5 linked regions of the Canis lupus familiaris genome follow. The protein of the gene in region 1 interacts with the protein of each later gene in a pairwise test. Links are inferred from orthologs where the notes say so. Each region holds a gene or a part of one and is shown in the gene's direction. Other genes may lie near its edges.

Region 1 (4,103 bases):
CCGGGCCACTCACAAGTGCGGAATGGCGGGGCGGGGCTGCGGCTTCGGACGGGGGGGGGGGGGGCTCCCGCAGCCAGGCCGCTCGCGCCCCAGCCCGGCCTGGAGCGGCTGGACCGGGCCCTGGGAGCCCCCGCCGGCCCCCGCCCCCGCCCCCTCCCCCTCCCCGACCTCCGGGCCGTGGGCGGGAGCGTAATGGGAACCAGATGGGGCTAGGAGAGACACACGGGAGGGGGCCTGCGGGGGGGCTGCGGGGGGCCGGCTCCCGCAGAGAGCTCCTCCCTGCAACTCCACCGCCGGGAGCCACGTCGGACTCCCCGGCCTCCAGCCCGTCTTCCGTTAGACTCTCTGGAGTGCAGTTGGTCCCCTAAAAACATCCGCGGAAGGGCCATCCTCCCGGTCCCGGCCTTGCCACAGAATTCCGCGGAGCAAAAGAGATGCGACGCGCTGAGGCAGGAGGGGAAGCCCTCCCCCCGCCTGACCCCCGGCCACCCGGCCACCCGGCGCGGTAGCCGCGAGCACGGCCCGCCCGCTCCTGCGCCCCGAGCTCCGACCGGGAGGCGAGCAGGGTGGAGGCCCGGGCCCCCGAGGACCGCCCTCGCGAGGCCGCCCGTCGCAGCGGGGGAGCGCCGGGCCCGCCAGGGGATTCCTGCCGAGCCCCGCGCGCACGCGGGCAGCCGACGGGCGCACCCCGAGCCCGCCAACTCTCCCCGGCTCCCGGCCGGCGGGCCGCGGACTTCCCGCGGCGCGTGTGCACGCGTGTGCGCTTCTCCGTGTTCCGTGTGCCCGCGCGTGGCGGTGAAAGTCCGCTCCCCGCCCCGGGGTAGGAGCGGGCGGCGGGGGGTAGGAATGTCGCCGGCTGGGCGCTCACGTGGGTCCGTGGGCGCGGAGAGGGCCTGCTGCGCATCCGGCGGGGGCGGCACCGCGCGACCTCGCCCCGCCCCCCGCGGCCCGGCCTCGGCCCCCCCGGCCCCCCGCGCCCCGCGGCCCCGCCCCCGCCCCCCGCTCCACGCCCCCTCCCCCCGGCCCCGCCTCCCGCCGTCGCTCCGCCGCGGCGCCTGCACCGCGGCCCGGAGGCCCGGGCGCCCGCCCCCCGCCCCCGGCGCCCGCCCCCGGCGCTGCCCACGCCCTCCGCCCGCCCGGCAGCCAGCGCAGCGCCGGGCCTCGCTCCCCGTGCGTCCTGCGGGGGCGGCGGCGCGGAGAGGCGGCAGGCGCAGCCGGGGAGGGGGGGGCCGAGGCACAGAGGCGCGGAGGCTCGCCGAGAGGAGACGTGGAGGGAGGGACGGAGCCCGGACCGCGGCCGCGGCAGCGCGCGCCAGGCGCCGAGCGCGGGGCACCGAGAGGGGCAGCCTGCGGCCGCCGGCCGTCCATGCGCAGGGCGCCCTCCCCCACAGCCGAGCAGCCGCCGGGCGGAGGGGACAGCGCCCGCCGGACCGCGCAGCCCAGACCCAAGTTAGTGGGCAGAGGAGAGCGGCGGGAGTGGAGATGGGTGGAGCCGGGCTCGGGAAGGGGTCCGGAGGGCGGAGGTCGGGGAGACGGGAGGGGAAGCGGGACGGGGGTGGGGGGTGGAGACTGCTTGAAAAGGGGGTGCGTCTTCGAATTAGGGGGCCCGGGGAGCAGGGAGGGAGCGGGTGAAGCTGGATGTGAAACAGTGAGACCTAATCCTCCATCCCCCGTTTACTCCGCCGCCGCGGTCTGGCGCGTGAACCCCTTGCGAGCAATGTGGGGGCCCCCGAGCGCCAGGGGAAGTCCTGGAGCTCTGGCCGGTCACGGGGCCGGGGAGGGCCGCCGAGCGCCCCGCTCTCCGTCGGTACGGAGTGCGCGGGCCCCAGGGTCCGGGAGGAGCGGCGCCGCCGAGCCCGAGCCCCGGAGCATCCGCAGGGCCGTGGAGACGCGGGGCTGGCCGTAGGCGCCCCTTCTCCTCTCTAGCTTTATTTACGGCCCGCGGAGGGGAGTTTCGGTGTGCAGCCCCTCCCTCGGGGGCCTCGAGCGTCTCCCCCGCTCCGCTTGGAGGTGTGGGTGGAAAATGAGGGAGAGGAGAGAGGTGGGAGCCCCCAGGCGGTTTTCGCCCACGGACGCTGCCACTGTAGGAGTGTGCGTGGGCGGAACGGCCCCAGAGCAGAACAATTGAGGCACTCCTCCCTGCCGTGCCTGAGCCGAAGGGACCGGACCGGCCTACCTACCCAGCAGGTGGAGAGGGTCACTGCCCAGAGAGGGGCCCTCGGAGGGGCCCTGGGCAGCCCGGACAGGGGAGGGCCCGAGCAGTCAGGGGAGCAGCTCAGGGGAGCGCAGCCGAGCTCGCCGAGTGGGAAAGGGCCACACCCCTCCCTCGCAGCCACCTGGGTAGGATGCCACCAGGCAGTGAAACTGGCCGGCAGTGGTCCCAGGAGCCCACTGTGGGGAGGCCACGGGGTCCTACGTGCACTTCAGTTTGGAAAGTCACCTTGAGTAATGCTGGAACTGCCGGGCGTTTAGGGCGGAGGGTGAAGACCCGTGCTGAGGGGAGGAGGAGGCCCAGCCATCCCGGGGGCCGTGGCTGGCCTCAGTGCTCCTGGTCTCCTTGCCCCAAGGCAGAAAAGTAAAAACTGAGAATGGTAGCGAAGAGTCTTTGGTTTCAGCCTAGACTGGGCTGACTTGTGGCTAGTCTGGTGTGGCACTGGGGTGTTTCTGCCTCTGGGTAATGCCCAGTTCTCATAGTCTGTGTTCAAGCTTGGGTATCCAGCAGAGCGAGCCTTCAGAGGAGGGGGATGAGAAGCAGGCAGGGAAGAGGATGCAGGATGAGTGTTGGGTGGGTACCCAGCAGGGGGACCTGTACTGACTGCCTCCCTCTCTACCGCGCTCCTCCTTTCCAGGCCCAGTGCCCGAGCCATGGCACTGCCTCGGACACTGGGGGAGCTGCAGCTGTACCGGGTCCTGCAGCGCGCCAATCTGCTTTCCTACTATGAGACCTTCATCCAGCAGGGAGGGGACGATGTGCAGCAACTGTGTGAGGCTGGTGAGGAGGAGTTCCTGGAGATCATGGCCCTTGTGGGCATGGCCACCAAGCCCCTCCATGTCCGACGCCTGCAGAAGGCCCTGAGAGAATGGGCCACCAACCCAGGGCTCTTCAGCCAGCCTGTGCCTGCTGTGCCTGTTTCCAGTATTCCACTTTTCAAGATCTCCGAGACTGCAGGCACCCGGAAAGGGAGCATGAGCAACGGGCACAGCAGCCCAGGGGAAAAGGCAGGCAGTGCCCGCAGTTTCAGCCCCAAGAGCCCCCTTGAACTTGGAGAGAAGCTGTCACCGCTGCCTGGGGGACCTGGGGCAGGAGACCCCCGGATCTGGCCAGGACGGAGCACTCCAGAGTCCGACGTTGGGGCGGGAGGAGAAGAGGAGGCAGGCTCACCCCCCTTCTCCCCACCTGCAGGGGGAGGAGTCCCCGAGGGGACTGGGGCTGGGGGGCTGGCAGCAGCCGGGGCTGGGGGTGGCCCAGATCGACTGGAACCGGAGATGGTGCGCATGGTGGTGGAGAGTGTGGAGAGGATCTTCCGGAGCTTCCCCAGGGGGGACGCAGGGGAGGTAACGTCCCTGCTGAAGCTGAACAAGAAGCTGGCTCGGAGCGTAGGACACATCTTTGAGATGGACGATAACGACAGTCAGAAGGAGGAGGAGATCCGCAAATACAGCATCATTTACGGCCGCTTTGACTCCAAGCGGAGGGAGGGCAAGCAGCTCAGCCTGCATGAGGTGAGGACCCCACGCAGTATTGTGCTCGGCTCCCAGGTCTCAGCCTATTCGCCTTAGAGAATCTTTCCGCTCCCCAGGTTTGTTTCACTGCCCCTTGACCAGGACCCCACGCCCCCCACCCCAACGGCCCAACCCCAGCCACTGCAGTGCTGCCCTCCTCAACTAAGGGGGAGGTGCAGGCGAGAGCCCGGGTGTCCTGCTCTGTGCCCCTCAGGACCCCACAGGTGGAGGGGGCTCCCGGCGTTCCTAGGAAGCTGTGGGTGCTGGCCTCCGTCTTGGTCCTTTGGGAAGCCACGTACTATCATCTTCAGCAACACCTGAGGGGTGGGCTTCGATGTCCGATGGTGAAGGGTGAAGGGTCTGGGCGAGGCAGTGGGGAG
Region 2 (4,208 bases), on another chromosome or scaffold:
GAGGGCAGCCCCAATATTGGGGGTGGGGGGTGATCTTGGAGAAAACTGTTATTTTGGTTACTCACAAAATATTTTTATTCTAAAACCTCTGCCCGCAGGTGAACCAGTGTGTTATTGGTACGGCCCAGGCTAACAGGAAATGAAGACAGATCCAGATCCTCTGTTTGGGAAGGGGGGGTGGGGGTGGCGCTGAAGGATGCTTTGTTGGGGGGAGGGGCGCTCTGTGACCTGGGTCTATCAAATAAAGAACAAGTTTTTTTTCTTTAAATAAAGGTTTTGTTAACAATGGCCCGTATCTGTAAAAATGGGAACTGTGGATCGTCTACTCTGCCGAGTATTTGTGTTTTGCAGAGCAAGGGTTTCAGCTTTTCTCTACCTGGCTATCTCCTGGAGACTAGATGGTTACCCTGGTTGTCCGCCTCTAGGAGATGTGCCCACTGGCCGACCGCCGTCACTGGTTTGCCGCAGGCCACCCAGCTCCACGCGGAGAGCTCGTCTGGTGGGTGCGGGAAAGTGGAAGCCCGAGTCCAGAGGCCGGGCCAGCGAGCCCTCCTGCAAACTGCGGGCTCTCCCTCCCGCTCTTTCCTTGCCGTCCCATTCGAAGAACTGGGGCCGGCCCGCCCGCTGCCCATTGGCTGGCTCTCGGCGGCGTTACCGCCTCGCTACTAGCTCTCCCGGTCCGTGTACCCGCCCTACAGGCGCTGGGTGGGCTGCACGCCCGCTGACTCGCTCGCGCCAACCGCCAACGGCCACCGCCCGGCAAAGGAGGGGCTCGGTCCACCCAGGTGCCGCGCGCGGGAGGGGTCACGCATGCGCAGAAGCGCGGCGGCGGTGTGGCGGGGGGAGACTTACCACGGGGAGGGCGGGGCCGGGGCAAAGGCGGGAGGAAGGCGGGGCACTCGAGGGAGGAGGGCGTGGCGGGGGCGACGGGACGGGTGAATGGGGGGCGGGGTCGTGAACTGGGGCCGAGGGGCGGGACTTGGAGTGACCATGGAGGTTGGGGGGGCAGTTAACGGATGTGGCATGGGGCGGGGGCCAGGCTGGAGACCAGCTGCGGGGAAGGGGGGGATTCCCTGCTGCCCCGAGGGCGGATCTCCCTCCGAGGAAGGGGCTGCAGGGATTCCCTCTCGCACTGGGTCTTGACTTTCCACCCGCCCCAGCCGTGGGGAGGCCGCCACCCGTTCGGCGCCCTCCAGGCCCGTTGGAGGTGAGGGAGGTGGGGTGAGGTGGTGCCCGCCCCCCCCCCGGCTCCTCCTTCCCCTCAGTCCTCCCCTCCCACTACCCTCCCCCCGAGCCGGTTTGTCCCTCCCCTCCCCTCCCCTCCTTCCCCCCGCCGCCTCCTCCTGCCGCTGCCGCTGCTTTGGCTGCTGCGTCATACGCCCCAGAGCTGCCGGGACGGAGGGGCTGGGCCTGGGGACCCCCCGGCCCTTGCCTGCCCGCCCTCCGACGCCCAGACGTGCCCTCCCCGCGCGGGGGGTTCGCCTCGGTCTCCCACGTCTGCCTCTGCCCGGCTCCCGGCGGCCCCAGCTGTCACTGGTAAGGAGGCGGCGGGAGGCGCCCGTGGGGGGGGGCAGGGAGCCGGGGGTCGGCGCGCAGGGCGCGGGCGGGAGAGCCTCGCCGCCCAGGCATCAGCTCGCGCTGGGCTGACTCAAGTCCCCTCTCGGACTCGCTGTCCTGGGGAGTAGAGACCGGGACTGGGACACGCCCCCCTCCCAGGGCACTCAAGGAAGTTATCTAACCCGGGGGACAGGGAGCCCCGTATTTGAGGGTGACCTGCCATAACCTGGCATCGGGATTATTGTTCTGGAGACACAGGGGCCCGGGGAGGCAGCCGTTTCTAATTTGGAAAACATTTCCAGAAAAGCTCCCAAAACACATTCTCTGGGTAGCAGAACACCCCAATTACAGTATCTCTAAACAGAAGGTGACAGTAGAAACTGAATGGTAACCTTTGCTTCTGCAACCATCATTCCTCCTAAAATCTCAAGGCCAGGATACAGTATCCCAGGGGAGCTCTGGAAGCTGGGAAACTAGAGAACTAGGTTGGGGGGTGGGGGGTGTTAGGGAGAGGAGAGCCAGTCACCAGAGTTGGAAAAGCTGGAGTCATGAAGCTTGGGAGGGGTGCTGTGTGATTTCCTATCCAGGTATTTCATATTTGGAGACTGGTAGCACAGCTGCTTGAGTCCTTGAGGCATAGAAAAATGGGGACAGTTTCTCAACATTCATAACCTTCTCCCATCCCACTTCTGGATAGCCCCCCCCCCCAGGATGCAATGGCACAGCCCCCCCGGCTGAGCCGCTCTGGTGCCCCCCCACTTTGGGACCCAGCCTCCCCTGCTCCCACCTCAGGCCCCAGGCCTCGACTTTGGGAGGGTCAAGATGTGCTGGCCAGGTGGACGGATGGACTGCTATACTTGGGGACCATCAAGAAAGTAAGACCTTTGACTTCTGACTTATTACCTTCCCCCCATTCTCCTTATGTAGTTCCGATTCCTGTTTCATCTCCTGTGCTCATCCATTCCAGGTGGACAGTTCCCGGGAGGTGTGTCTGGTCCAGTTTGAGGACGATTCCCAGTTTCTGGTTCTATGGAAAGACATTAGCCCTGGTGAGACCTTAGAGGCCCAAATATATGCATGCTGTGGAAAGCAGAAACCTGGCTTGGGGGATGTAAAGGGGGCTTAAGGACAGGCCCCACAACACTGTTCCCTCACAGCTGCCCTCCCCGGGGAGGAACTCCTCTGCTGTGTCTGTCGCTCTGAGACTGTGGTCCCTGGAAACCGGCTGGTCAGCTGTGAGAAGTGTCGCCACGGTGAGAGGGCAGGATACCTAAATGGTCTAGCTTGCCCTGAACCTTCCAGGCTGCCTCTAAGTCTTCCCTCCACCACTGATCCTTAGGCCACCTGTCCTGGCTGAGTCCCCAAGCCACTGCTCTGGCCAGTCTGCTCAACTCTGTAACCTCTCTTCCAGCACAGGGAGAAATAGCCATGGAATCAGGAGGTGTGGGCTTTGTAGACAGAGGATGGTTCAAATACACCTTTACTAACCATAAAACCTTGGGCAAATTCCCAAGCCCCTAGGAGCCTGTCTCCTCACCTGTAAAATAAGGGTAACTTATCTACTGCAGCCAGATCACAGTCAAAGATGAAATGAGGTGGCCCAGACTCCTCCTATCCCAGTCACTAGCACACACAGGTATATTGTGCAATAAATGGTCTACCATCAATATTATCATTATTCAGCTTATCACCAGGACTGCCACGTTCCAAGAGCCCCAGCCCCTGGAGAGGGAGAGGGCACATCCTGGGTCTGTCGCCAGTGTGTCTTTGCCATTGCCACCAAGGTAAGGTCACCATTCTGTGGGAGCCTCCCCCACCACCTCTCCCAAGCCTTCCTGTTCCCTACCCGTCTGAGGTGGCCTGTTTCCTCCCTGCAGAGGGGGGGTGCACTGAAGAAGGGCCCCTATGCCCGGGCCATGCTGGGCATGAAGCTGTCACTGCCATATGGACTAAAGGGGCTAGACTGGGACGCTGGACATCTGAGCAACCGACAGCAGAGCTACTGTTACTGTGGTGGCCCTGGGGAGTGAGTAAATGAGGGACAGGGGTGGAGGAGTGGTGGGGAGGGAATGAATGATGGAGTGGGTGGGGGGATCCTGGGGAATGAAGGAGAAAAAATAGGATGAAGGGAGTGCTGAAGAAAGCAGAAGTAGGTGGTGAGTAGGGTTTGGGGCCATTCAGGTCGGGGCAGTGTCTGGAGGTCACCAGTCCTGTGTTCCCTCTCAGGTGGAACCTGAAAATGTTGCAGTGCCAGAGCTGCCTGCAGTGGTTCCATGAGGCCTGCACCCAGTGTCTGAGCAAGCCGCTCCTCTACGGGGACAGGTGAGATGGGGCTGGCTCTCTGGGAGCCAAGGGAGAATACTCTTGCCCTGCTCTACCCTCTCAGGCCCCCATGCTGCTTCAGCTCCATGTCTCCCCAGCCTCTGAAGCTCACCTCCCCTACGCACCCCATCCTTATTCATAAGTCCTCCACGCTCTCTCCCCCTCGCCCACTTCCAGGTTCTACGAGTTCGAATGCTGTGTGTGTCGGGGTGGCCCTGAGAAGGTCAGGAGGCTACAGCTTCGCTGGTGAGTGGGCACCACCTCCACATGGCTCCTCTCTCAGCACCCCCAGCCTCCCACCTTGGGCTCTCCAGGCTTTTGTATTGACA
Region 3 (4,234 bases), on another chromosome or scaffold:
CATCGTCACACCAGCCAATTCTTGAGTAGGCTTTTGCTTGAGAGGAAACATTTGAAACACAAATAGGGTGGGTGGAAAGTGCTAGAAGGGAAGAAGAGAGTAAAGTGGCCATGTACCAGATGCCACACATGTGTTACTTGATTCTCGAGACACCTTTGGAGTAGAGGTTATTAGACTAGAAGAGAGGCAAGCTGCCCAAAGCTAAGCAGCAAAGTGGCACACTAAGGGCCTCAACAACCAGAGTTAGAGTTAGCCACAGTCATACTACAAACCACATCTGACCGCCCTCCCCACCTTCTTCTGAGTCTATAGGCAGGGGCTAGTGTGAAGCATAGTCACCATCATGTATTTGCCCAACTGTCCCTCTACTCTGTTCCTGGGGCAGGTGCCAGTGATGTAATAAGATGCAAGGAGCGGCTACTTAAAAAAAATTTTTTTTTTAATTTAAGGGAGAAGGAAAAGCAGACTCCCTGATGAGCAGGTAAATGACGCAGGGCTCAATTATCAGGACCTGAGGTGAAAGCAGATGGTGCTTAACTGGCTGAGCCACCCAGGTGGCCTAGGAGTAGCTACTTCTGGCATCTGTACACTCCTGACTCAGGCCAGCCTCATGTCTTCTCCCTTCTCTTCCTCATGTCCTTCTCAACATGTTAAAAAAATAACAACAAACAACTTTATTATGGATAAAGCATGTGATCTGTAATATGTAATACATATTGCTGGGAAATACAGATCAGCAAAATAGAAGAAAATAAAAGTGCTCCATAATCACCTCATTGCAGAAAAAATTTCAATACTGGTTCTCCTATCTTCAGATCACAGGGTCCCTGTCCTCCATGTTTGGTAACTAGCGCTTTCCAGTCACACACATTAACCTAACTGGAAGTTTATTTTTTGTTTTTCACTGGGGTTGCTTCCGGAACTTGGTTCTCTAGATTTTGTTGGGCGAGGGGCATGGATTTGGGAGGTAAATTGGAGTTGTGTGTGTTTGGAGTTGTTCATCAATTCGAAGTACTCACCTCCCAGCTTTGGGGCCAAAAGGTTTTTTGGAGTCTTTTTTCCTAGGGAATCGCGGTTGTTTTATCCTCGGGTTTGTTTGTCTTGTTTTTTAGGGCTGGACGCTCTCTGTTCCTCTGAACGGTGAGGGTTTGAACTTTGCTGGTAGCTGGAATTGGCTCTGGCCGTGACACTTAGTTTGTAAAGACGACTGGCGGCTGCAGGGGATGGCCTCGCCTCTCTAGCTTCCCGGGTTCCCGGGGCCCGGGAAGCTCCGTCGCGCGCGCGGGAGGGCAGCGGGGGCTGGAAGGGCGGACTCCGAGGGAGGCGTGCGGCCGGCGCCTCCCGGTAACCTGGTAACCGACCCCTTGGCAACAGAGAGGGGGCGGGACCCAGGGAGGAAGTCGGAAGCAGGAGGCTACATCTCGCGAGAGTTGCTTTTGCGCGCGAACTCTGAGAGCCAGGGTCCCGGCCGGGGTCGGCTCGCGGCGGGTAGCTGTGCGGGACCGCGGGGGCCGCGACGACGCGGGCGGGCCCGGACGCCTCTCTCACCGCGCCATGGAGACCTCAGCGCAGCAGGAGCAGCAGCCCGCGGCGGCCAAGATCAGAAACCTGCCCTGGTAGGAGGAGGCCCGGCAGCCGCGGGAAAGGGGACCGGTGACCTCGCCCGACCGCCCCCGACCTGCGGCCGGCCGGAGCCCCAGAATTTCGCCTTGACACCCCCAGCGCCCTCCGTTCTTTTAGGCCTTTTCCAGGTCTTCCCGCTGCCCCACCCCCACCGCCCCCATTCCTGGTATTCACTGGGTGACAGCGTAGAGGTTTCAGTCCCTCCTCTTCTGACTTTGCATCGGCCTCGGGCCAAAGTAGTCTCTCCACCCTTGCCGGAATCCTCAGGCAATGTTGCTCAAATTCTCAACGGAAAGGACAACGGTCCTAATAATGCTCCCCAGTCGAGTTGTATTTAAATGGCTTCCTGTTAGATTAGCGGGGACCCTGTTAGATGCTTGATCTTTACAAACACCCTAGGAGGTAGGTCGTTATTCCCGTTGGAAAACAAAAAGGTTAAATGACTTACCTGAGGTCCAGAGCAGGAAAATAGGTTGGGATTTGCATCCAGGTGAAATCAGAGCTTGCCCTCTTGAGCATCCTACTTCCACGGCTGCATCTGGATGGTGTTTTAGAAACTGATGGGATTCAGCTTGAGTTCTTCTGAAAGCTCCAAGTTGGTCGGTCTTGTCTCTTGAGTTCAGTTTGCTTTTCTCATGGAAAGAACACATAACATCCAATTTACAGTTGTAAACATTGTAAAGTGTGTAATTCAATGACTTTAAGTACATTGAGAATGTTGTGCTACCAGGTCACTGTCTAGTTCCAAAATTTTTCATTTTACCCCAATGGAAACTTCACACCTATTGGCAGTTATTCGCCATCTCCCCCCTCACCCCCAGACTCCACTTGCTGAAACCGTTAATCTGCTTTCTGCCTCTGGAGTGACTACCGTGGATATTTACATGGATAGAATCAGTATGTGGCCTTTTGTGACTGGGCTGCTTTCACAGCATCATGTTTTCTGGGTCCACCTGTACTGTTGCAGGTGTCATGGCTTCATTGCTTTTTATGGGTGAATAATATTCCATTGTATGGATAGACCACCATTTATTTATCCATTCATCTTTTGATGTATAGTTGGGTATGAGTTCAATTTTTTTTAACAAAGATTTTATTTACTTGAGAACGTGAGTGTGGGGGAGGAGCAGAGGGCGAGTGAAAAGCAGACTCCCTGCTGAGCAAGGAGCCTGATGCAGAGTGGGATCCTAGGACCCTGAGATCAGGACCTGAGCTGAAGGCAGATGGTTAACCGACTGAGACACCCAGGAGCCCCAATGAGTTCAGTTTTTAATTTATTTTGAAATAATAGGTGCCCATCCAGGTTGAGATTATTTATAGGCAGACAGCTGGGAAAGTGAAATTAGAGCAGCACTATTGGCATTTTGGGCTAGACGCTTGGTGGAGGCGGGCATGGTGACTGTCCTGTGCATTGTAGGGTTTAGTGACATCCCTGGTGCCTATCCACTGGAGGCCTGTAGCACCTCCACCCAATTGTGACAGCTGAAAATGTCTCCAGATATCACTGAGTGTTTCCTGGAGGACAGAATTACCTCTGGTTGAGAACCAGTGGTCTGTATTCAAACTTAGAGGATTTTGTTTCTCTTCCTCTTTTCATTAGGGTAGGAAAGGATTCTTTTGCACATAACAGTGTGTTCTTGCATTGGTATATATTGTAATCCCTGCTAAATTGTCTTTCAGGGTTGAAAAATACCGGCCACAGACGCTGAATGATCTGATTTCTCATCAGGACATTTTGAGTACCAGTAAGCATCCATGTGTCAGTTGCTGTCATTCTAGTTGGAAGACTTGTATAAATTTCTTGGTTATGTCTCTGCTGAGTAATAACCTCGAAGTATCTGACTGAGCTGTATGGAATGTTGCTCTGTGAGCTAGGTCCTTCGGATTTTTCTTTCCTGCATCTGTCTCTGATTTGAACATGGGATTGAAGTGCATTCAGGCCAACCCCAAGGGCCCAAGGTAAATCAGGTAACTCTTGAAACTGATGGGCTCTCTCATTCTTCCTCAGTTCAAAAATTTATCAGTGAAGACCGTTTGCCCCACCTGCTCCTCTATGGTCCTCCAGGGACAGGAAAGACTTCCACCATCCTGGCCTGTGCAAAACAGCTATACAAAGATAAGGAATTTGGCTCCATGGTCTTGGAGGTAAACAGGAAGATTATTCTTACTCAGCAAAGAACTCGAGTCTCTTACTTTTAGTATTCTTTGATTTACTTCACAAGTTAAGTTGCTGTACTGGAGGTGGGGGAAAGGAACAGACCTAGAATATTTCCAGTCACTTTTTATCTAGAATAGACATTTTGGTCTTGGTTGGCATCAGCTAGAGGGCAGTTGTAGGGCTAGGTATTTTTCTTTGCCTTTGCCAACTCATACTCAAGCACTCAGTGGTCACTCAGTGAGTGGTTGCTAAGTAGCTTGCTGTCTCCCATGTGCCTGTCCAGATTTCTCCTCCACGTGGCTCCACCCTGTTCTTGCGCTGGAAGGCTGTGCTGTATTGACTGCAGGCTGCCTTGTTCTTTGGCTCCTGGTTAGGTTTGGCCAATAGTGGCCCTGACTGGAGTCAGGGGAAGAGGAAGGATGCCTCGTCCTGTCTTGGGGGTCACCACCGGCT
Region 4 (3,968 bases), on another chromosome or scaffold:
AGATGGTTAAAAAAGCCAGCCTAATCTAATATGGAAACTTCAATCAGTCATCCAATTCAAAGCTCTGGCTCCCTCTCAGTTCAGGTGTGACCTGTAACTCTGTGGAAGAGCAAAGGGAACGTTATGTGGATTAAGTTCTTCACTCTCCTATTGCACACTTTCTGCACTATTTTCTGGTTTCTCCAGGGTAAGGGCAGCAGGAGGAAGGGATGGTAATACAGGTCTGTTTAGAGTCAAATGTCCACCTTTGTCTTCACATGACCTTCACTCAACTCCAGTGTCTTGTCTTCTCTTACAAGGATTGTCTCTCGTTGGATTTGGGGCCCAACCCAGTGATCCAGGATGGTCTCATCTTCAGATCCTTAATTATATTTACAAAGCCCCCCCCCCCCCATTTTTTCCCAAGTAAAGTTGTCTGGATAGGTTTGGGGGAGGCAGATTTAGGAAGTGGCTGTATCTATCTTGGGGGCCGGGGCACCATTCAACCCACAACACTCATCAAATTGTTTCATTGAACCTGAAAGTGACCGGGAAAGCTGCGCGGTTTGCTCAAGCTCCAGCCCTGGAGCAGCCAAGGGGCAGGAGAGCCAACAGAGCAGCGGTGAGAAAAAATGAGTTTCTTGTTATACCCTATGGAGCGTCCCTGCTCGACCAATTAGATTCATTGGTGTCTCACTTAGTTGTGATAGAAACCATCGTGCGGCAGTAATAGCCGTTTGAAACTAAAGCCCCGAGTTTTACCGTCGCTTTGATTTTATCGGACCGTTGCAGGGAGAGGATGTGTCCGGATGAGCGGTGCCACGGCCACCTGGTGAATGTTCAGTACTTCCTTACCAAGGGACGCGGGCTAGGGCTGCAATACATACTTGTTAATTAATTACTGCATGAAATCAATCGCATCCGGCCACCGTTTTGTCAACCTTTCAGCTGAGCACTGCCTTGACTGAAAGCACAAAGCGTACGCCGTGGAGTTAGTTCAACACACTTCGCAGCTGAAAAACGCTCCTGGGGGCAGCTGCCTTCAACTCAGGAGGCCCCGGGGCCACGTCGCCCGCCACGCCCGGGGCCGCCCCACAGCGAGCGGCGGCGCGGGCTTGACGGCCGCCGGTCCCTCTGCGCAGACGCCACGTACCCAGCACGCATGCGCCCGGCCTGCGGTCTCCAGCCGCCGGCCTCGGATTGGTGGAGCCTCGGTGGCCCCGCCCCGCGTGCCGGAAGCTCTGTCCCGGCGCCGACGTCTCCGGAGATTCCCGGGCGTGTGCGCTTCTCGGTGAGCGACGCTCTAGGTTGTCGCGTGTGTGTGCCCGGCGGCGCTCGGGGACGCGCACCCCTGTTCGGGGACGCTCACCGCTGCTCCGGGAGGGCGCGGGGGGCCGCGGTGCGTCCCGGGGCGGGCGGGCCCTGTAGCGCCCTCGCGCCTCTTCTCGGGCTGACGTCGCTGGGGTGGGCGGATCCCCGGGGGCCGCCGCCGCCTCCGAGCTGGCGGCCCGCGCCCCTCTCCCGAACCCGAGCCCCCGCGGGCCCTTGCGCTGCTCCCTTCCGCCCTCTGCACCTGTGCCGGGGGGCGTCCTAACACGAAGGGACACTAGCGCAGTGTTGCGTGGCTGTTCGGAAACCGCGGCGCCCCGACCCAGCGTTTGGCATCGGTTCTCTCCCTGGGGGAAGGGGCTCCCCTGTGTAGCTGCAGAGCTGTGCGTGGGTTATGACTAGAAACAAAATTTCTCTTTGATCGCTCGTGTCCCCCGGGGATTAAGCCAGATGTGTGCAGATGTGTGCAGCGTGCCCATATTAGTTAATATTAACAAGCTTTTCTATGCATTCAGTCCACAGATATGTAGGGCCTGCACCTGCCCGCCCGGCATAGACTCATTTTCATGTATATTCAGAAGCTGGGGCAATAGGTGTGCACGTAAGCGTTATCTGTATTAGCATATGCTCTAGAACTGTGTTGTCCCATAGGTAACCACGAGCTACATGGAGCACTTGAAATGTTCCTGGTCCTAATTGAGATGCGTCAGAGTGTCAAACAGCGAATTTGGGGGAAATAAGTATGAAAAAGAGAATGTAAAATATCAACAATTTGTTTTTATTAATTACATGTTGAAGTGGCAGTATTTTGGATACACTGGTTAGGTAACATGCTGTAACCTTCACTTGTTTATTTTTTTAACGTGGGTACTAGAAAATTTTAAATTTTATCTGTGGCTTGCATTGTATTTCTGTTGGATAGCACTGCTTTAAAAGGGCTCAGCAAACTGTGGCCTACAGCCAAATCCAGCCTACCTGTCTTTGAAAAACATTGGAGCAAAGCCATACTCATTCTTTTATGTGTCGTCTATGGCTGCTGTTCCTGCTACCAGAGCAGCAGACTTGAGTAGTCCATACAGAGACTGGATGGCCTGCACAGCTTACAGTATTTACTATCTGGCCTTTTCCAGAAGAAGTTCGCCAACAAACAACAAAGTTCTGTACAACAGTGCCTGCCATGGAGATCCATGTCACGTGAATCTTTTAATTATAGTCCTGTGTAATTGTCATGTAGGCTTACTGTGTGACAGGCATGGCTCTAAGGACTTTATAAGGACTATCTCATTTATTTCCCATATTAAGCCTAAGATGCGGAATTTCCCCAGTTTTGTAGATGAAGAAACTGAGGCACAGAATCATCAAGAAACTTACGGAACATGCTCAACGCCCCTCGGCTTCTGTGAACTCTAGCTTCTTGACCCTTCTTATCCCCACAAGCTTGATCTCTGCAGTCCACTCAACCCACAGTGGGCACCATGGTGCTGCTGCTGCTACTGCTGCTACTCCTTTTTGTTTTGTCTTTTACATAACTTTTCGAACTAGAATTGAGATGAGGTTGGCTCATGTGGAAGAAGCTGAGGGGCAGTGAGCTTAGGTGCAGTGGGTACGAGCAAGCTGGTCTGTAGTGGAAAGAATGAAGTGTACAGGGGCGCCTGGGTGGCTCAGTCAGTTAGGCATCTGCCTTTGGCTCAGGTCATGCTCTTGAGGTCCTGGGATCCAGCCACGCGTCAGGCTCCCTGCTCAGGGGTGTGTCTGCTTCTCCCTCTGCCTCTGCCCCTCCCCTCTGGTTGTGCTCCACCCCAAATAAATAAAAAATCTTGAAAAAAAAAAAAGAATGGGGCGTACAAGCAGAGAGGAGAGGAAGCATTCTGGATCCTCTTTTCTCATTTAATAAGAATTTGTTGAGTAATAGTAAGAACTGGCCAGGTGTCTGCTGGGCGTGTCTCCGTGAATGAAACAGACATCATTCTCTTATGGTCTTGTGGGGAAAGCAGACAATAAAAAACATTTTAGGGACGCCTGGGTGGCTCAGTGGTTGAGTGTCTGCCTTCGGCTCAGGGCATGATCCTGGGGTCCTGGGATCGAGTCCTGCATCGGTCTCCACGCAGGGAGCCTGCTTCTCCCTCTGCCTGTGTCTCTGGGTCGCTCTCTGTGTGTCTCTTGTGATTAAGGAGAATCTTTAAAAAAATAATTTTAATGTAGTCTGCACAGTGAAAAGCCATCACAAATATTTGATTTTTTTAAAGACGTTTTTAAATTTAAAAAAATTTTTATGATTTTTTTTTTTAACAGGCTTCCTCATCTGGAAGATGGAGATAAGCCACATACCTGACTTGGGGTCATCGCAAGGATGGAGATGACATAAATGTGTGTGGCACGTACAGTTCAATAAATGTACATTGCCTTCTGCTGTTAAGAGGTAAGGGAGGGAATAAGTCCGGGGAACTGGGTGCATCGTGACGCTTAAGACATTGCAACCACCAGTTATAATTGTAGAGAAGAGTCTCAGGTGAGCTGTGCACAGGAGGTGTTTTTAATATTTCCTAATGGGGCTCAGTCAGCAAAATCCAAAAGCAGGGAAGTTCTATACATTCACTGGAGGAGCAGGTCAGGAGCTGTCTTTGGGCTGATGGCAGTGTAACTGAGTCGGTCCTGTAGCA
Region 5 (3,971 bases), on another chromosome or scaffold:
AATAGCCAAACTGGAAGGAGCCTCGGTGTCCATCGAAAGATGAACGGATAAAGATGTGGTTTATGTATACAATGGAATATTCCTCAGCCATTAGAAACAACAAATATCCACCATTTGCTTCAACGTGGATGGAACTGGAGGGTATTATGCTCAGTGAAGTCAGTCAATAGGAGAAGGACAAACATTATATGTTCTCATTCATTTGGGGAATATTAATAATAGTGAAAGGGAATATAAGGGAAGGGAGAAGAAATGTGTGGGAAATATCAAAAAGGGAGACAGAACATAGAGACTCCTAACTCTGGGAAACGAACTAGGGGTGGTGGAAGGGAAGGAGGGCGGGGGGTGGGGGTGAATGGGTGACGGGCACTGAGGGGGACACTTGAGGGGATGAGCACTGGGTGTTATGCTGTATGTTGGCAAAGTGAACACCAATAAAAAATAAATTTATTATAAAAAAGAAGAAGAAAGAAAGAAAGAAAGAAAGAAAGAAAGAAAGAAAGAAAGAAAGAAAAGAAAAGAAAAGAGATAAATTTCCATTAGAGACGTTCCTAAGGGCACAGTAGGTTCTCAGCACAGACAAGACTCTAGTGAAGTCATTGATATTTCCAAAAGATATTCCAAGTCACTCACGAATAACAAAAGCTTAAGGGAATTCAGTGAACACAACACTCTTGGAGCTGCCACTGCACACCTCGAGGCTGGTCACCTAGGAGTCTCTGACTCATCTTTTCTCCCCTCCTATTTGTGTGAACGTTTCCCACCTGCCCATTCATCTGAAGCCAAACCTGTGCATTTACTCAGAGCCCAACGATGCCCATGGGGCTGCTTTCGAGTTGGTGGAGCCCTTCTCAGAGAGTAACCAGAACTCCCATTCGGCCCCCCTGCCTCTTACCCACCCCCCCGCCCCGGGCCTGGATCGGCCAGGTCAGCTCACCTGTGTTTTCCCTCGCCCTCCCTACACCTCCACAGCGCCTTCCAACCCGCGCCAGCATCTCTGACGAGGCGTCGGGCACTCTGAGACTCGGCAAGGCGACGCCGACGCCGGGCGAGCAGGAATGTTTGCCGAAGCGCGCAGTCGCTTAGCAACGCCGCCGGAAGTGACGGCAGCCGCCGCCGAGGAACGGCGAACGCGCCGCAGCGGGGCCGTCGGGCTGGGAAAGCGGGACTGCGCCTGCGCGGGAAGTCGTGCGCCGGCGCGCGTGTCGGGTGCCCCTCAGGGGCAGGCTCCGGAACGAGGTCGGAGGGCAGAGCCTGCGGGAGCGGCCCCGGGGCCAGGACGGCTGCCGACGCGTGGTCCGGGTCCGTGAGGAGCCCTGGGGGCCCGGCCCGGCGCTCCGGTCCTCGTCCACCGGGCTCCTCACGGGGGATGACCCCCAGCGAGGTGCCTGCGTCTACGTCCGGGGCGGACCCTGCAGGTGTGTGGGAGAGCGAGGCCTGACTCGGTGTGTGCGGCCCACGGACCTGCTCGCGGGGGGGAGCTGGAGGGCAGAGGCCCCCCTTCCGTGGAAACGCCGAGGTTAATGGACAGAGAAATCGGTTTTTAAATACTTTGGTTTCGAAACCATGATCCAGGCTAGATGAAGCTTATATTAAAAAAGAAAATAAACAAACAAACAAAAAAACAAAAAAAAAAACTTGGATATTGTCCCAGAACATTCATGTTAGGACCCTTAAGACGTTTTAAATTGCTTTGTAAATGCAGTATAGTAAAATGAAGGTATTTGTGGGACAAGTCAGACCACTGAGAACACAAAAATCTGTTAAAAGTGGATGCAGTCTTGGTTTCAAAAGACCCCCCCCCTTTCTGACACATCGAAGTACAATTTTTTTTTTTTTTTTTATCAGTTAGTTGGCTAGGGCACCTACACATTAGGCACCAAACTAGAGTAGAGTCGCTCAAATGAAAGGAGGTAACGATTTTTAATCACTAAAGTTCTAACACATAGTTGTGCTATTTTTCTTCAGGTTTTCTATCTGATGTTCCACCGTAATAATGCTGGTAAGTATGAAAGGACTAACAAAATATTTGTTGACGTAAGTTAGCTTATGCACATTGGTGAGGTTTTTTTTTTTTTTTTTGAAGCATAGTTTTATTTTTATTTTATTCTTAGAAATTATTTTTTTAAAGATTTTTATTTATTTATTCCTGAGAGAGAGAGGCAGAGACACACGCAGAGGGAGAAGCAGGCTCCACGCTGTGAGCCCGACGTGGGACTCGATTCCGGGTCTCCAGGCTCGCGCCCTGGGCTGAAGGCAGGCGCTAAACCGTTGAGCCACTGGGGCTGCCCAGAAGCATAGTTTTAAAAGTGTCAAGAGCTCGGGAAGGGCCAGAGAGATTTTATACTATTTGCACACTAACAATTTAGCTTGCCACAGTTTTGTGGAAGATGCAGAAATAAATGACATAGAGCCATGACACTGGACAAAATCTCAGCAGTTTTACCCCGCTTGCCACCTGGTGATGAAACGATCAGAAGTCACCTGCACGCGAGTGTGTTGCAATACTGCACAGGAACCTTGAGCTTAGGGAACCTTAATCTATTCTACTAGACAATAAGCATGCCTTTCGGGGTTTTTCACTACACGTAGGTTGAGACAATAGCCCAGAGCATAGAGCAGTGAATGGCTTGCCTGTAAAGCATGAAGAACCAATAGAGACCATGGAGAATTACCTCCCAACAAAAATTCACTGGAATTTTAACTAACTAGGTTACAGAAAGTATTGAATCATATAAAATTCAGTCTCAGTAATTTGCCAATTTGTCTGATATCATTCGACTTCCAACACCCAGTTCAACTAACCCATGGATGCTTACAGCTAAGTCTAGCTAGAGCTAGTTACTTCTCTCTCTGACTCCACTCCTTTGTTTTATTTTGTTGTGAAGTTAAGGTAGCATTTGCATTTTGATCTGAAACAAGAGTTTAAATTATTCTTTGGAAAAAATTATTACAAAATCAGTGTAGAAAAAGAATGCACGGCAGTTGAAGCACCCATGGTCCTACCACCGTACACAGACATTTTTTAAAACAAAAATGGGATTATACTGTACACACTGTTTAGTGATTTACTTGTATAAGTTGTACTAAAGATCTTAGCTTTTATTGTCTAAATAAATATTCCATTACCCGGCTATCACATATCTTATTTAACCAGTCCCCAGTTCTTGGATGTCTGTGCAGTTTCCAGTTTTCCTTATTGTAAAAAACACAGGTTATGTTTATATATATAAATGTTACGTTTATAGATATATAAAAACATTGCAGAGATGGCAAATATATACTGCTCATGCTTTTGGAGAGAATAATTAATAACTGCTTTTGGAATTTTAAACTGGATTCAAAATAGATTCACTTTTTTTTTTTTAGATTCACATTCTTTAAACTTTTGTGCACATCCTTAAGTTTTGGAGACATTTTTATTAAAGTATAGCACTAGGGAGGATCCCTGGGTGGCGCAGCGGTTTGGCGCTTGCCTTTGGCCCAGGGCGCGATCCTGGAGACCCGGGATCGAATCCCACATCGGGCTCCCGGTGCATGGAGCCTGCTTCTCCTTCTGCCTGTGTCTCTGCCTCTTTCTCTCTCTCTCTCTCTCTCTGTGTGACTATCATAAATAAAAAATAAAAAAAAATAAAGTATAGCACTAATCTTTAAAAGTTTGTTGACAATAGAATGTAGTACTTATCTATTATTTAACAAGTAAAAAGGAAAAATGGAACCTGGAAATCTTAACATAATCAGCCTAACACTTGTGACTTTATCCACTGGATTAAAATATATATTCATTGTAATCTTTGTTTAATCAAGATTTTGTTTCTCCCATTGCCAATAAGTGCCTTTCTAATGTAAGAGAAAACAGCGTAATTAGAAAACATAAATTTAAAAATATCTTAAATACTTTTAATTTTAGGAGTTAAGAAGTCTCCGTTTCTTTGCTCCAAACCGGAAGACTTTGTTTCCTGCATATAGAG

Evidence for each region.
Region 2: the proteins of NAB2 (region 1) and PHF1 interact in binary tests that used the Homo sapiens proteins (3 or more experiments, as listed by UniProt). The two-hybrid records come from large-scale screens. The link is inferred for Canis lupus familiaris from reciprocal best matches to the Homo sapiens genes NAB2 and PHF1.
Region 3: the proteins of NAB2 (region 1) and RFC5 interact in binary tests that used the Homo sapiens proteins (3 or more experiments, as listed by UniProt). The link is inferred for Canis lupus familiaris from reciprocal best matches to the Homo sapiens genes NAB2 and RFC5.
Region 4: the proteins of NAB2 (region 1) and TCEANC interact in binary tests that used the Homo sapiens proteins (3 or more experiments, as listed by UniProt). The two-hybrid records come from large-scale screens. The link is inferred for Canis lupus familiaris from reciprocal best matches to the Homo sapiens genes NAB2 and TCEANC.
Region 5: the proteins of NAB2 (region 1) and PHOSPHO2 interact in binary tests that used the Homo sapiens proteins (3 or more experiments, as listed by UniProt). The two-hybrid records come from large-scale screens. The link is inferred for Canis lupus familiaris from reciprocal best matches to the Homo sapiens genes NAB2 and PHOSPHO2.

Annotation. Positions count from the first base shown.
Region 1 is NC_049231.1:1,579,463-1,583,565, forward strand, and holds the start of NAB2 (NGFI-A-binding protein 2), read left to right. Parts: upstream 1-1,299; 5' UTR 1,300-1,366; coding exon 1,367-1,449; intron 1,450-2,849; coding exon 2,850-3,723; intron 3,724-4,103. UniProt on the Homo sapiens protein: Acts as a transcriptional repressor for zinc finger transcription factors EGR1 and EGR2. Isoform 2 lacks repression ability.
Region 2 is NC_049233.1:2,998,945-3,003,152, forward strand, and holds the start of PHF1 (PHD finger protein 1), read left to right. Parts: upstream 1-1,407; 5' UTR 1,408-1,536; intron 1,537-2,254; 5' UTR 2,255-2,273; coding exon 2,274-2,432; intron 2,433-2,524; coding exon 2,525-2,606; intron 2,607-2,714; coding exon 2,715-2,810; intron 2,811-3,240; coding exon 3,241-3,341; intron 3,342-3,434; coding exon 3,435-3,583; intron 3,584-3,783; coding exon 3,784-3,879; intron 3,880-4,056; coding exon 4,057-4,125; intron 4,126-4,208. Other genes in the region: kinesin-like protein KIFC1, read left to right, coding at 99-143. UniProt on the Homo sapiens protein: Polycomb group (PcG) that specifically binds histone H3 trimethylated at 'Lys-36' (H3K36me3) and recruits the PRC2 complex. Involved in DNA damage response and is recruited at double-strand breaks (DSBs).
Region 3 is NC_049247.1:14,761,029-14,765,262, forward strand, and holds the start of RFC5 (replication factor C subunit 5), read left to right. Parts: upstream 1-1,433; 5' UTR 1,434-1,554; coding exon 1,555-1,616; exon of another isoform or gene 1,617-1,969; intron 1,970-2,071; exon of another isoform or gene 2,072-2,255; intron 2,256-3,155; exon of another isoform or gene 3,156-3,303; coding exon 3,304-3,368; exon of another isoform or gene 3,369-3,631; coding exon 3,632-3,768; exon of another isoform or gene 3,769-4,234. UniProt on the Homo sapiens protein: Subunit of the replication factor C (RFC) complex which acts during elongation of primed DNA templates by DNA polymerases delta and epsilon, and is necessary for ATP-dependent loading of proliferating cell nuclear antigen (PCNA) onto primed DNA.
Region 4 is NC_049260.1:10,113,172-10,117,139, forward strand, and holds the start of TCEANC (transcription elongation factor A N-terminal and central domain-containing protein), read left to right. Parts: upstream 1-1,167; 5' UTR 1,168-1,270; intron 1,271-3,599; exon of another isoform or gene 3,600-3,600; 5' UTR 3,601-3,727; intron 3,728-3,968.
Region 5 is NC_049257.1:14,699,339-14,703,309, forward strand, and holds the start of PHOSPHO2 (pyridoxal phosphate phosphatase PHOSPHO2), read left to right. Parts: upstream 1-1,170; 5' UTR 1,171-1,418; intron 1,419-1,968; 5' UTR 1,969-2,002; intron 2,003-3,910; 5' UTR 3,911-3,971. Other genes in the region: CCDC173 (coiled-coil domain-containing protein 173), read right to left, coding at 938-995. UniProt on the Homo sapiens protein: Phosphatase that has high activity toward pyridoxal 5'-phosphate (PLP).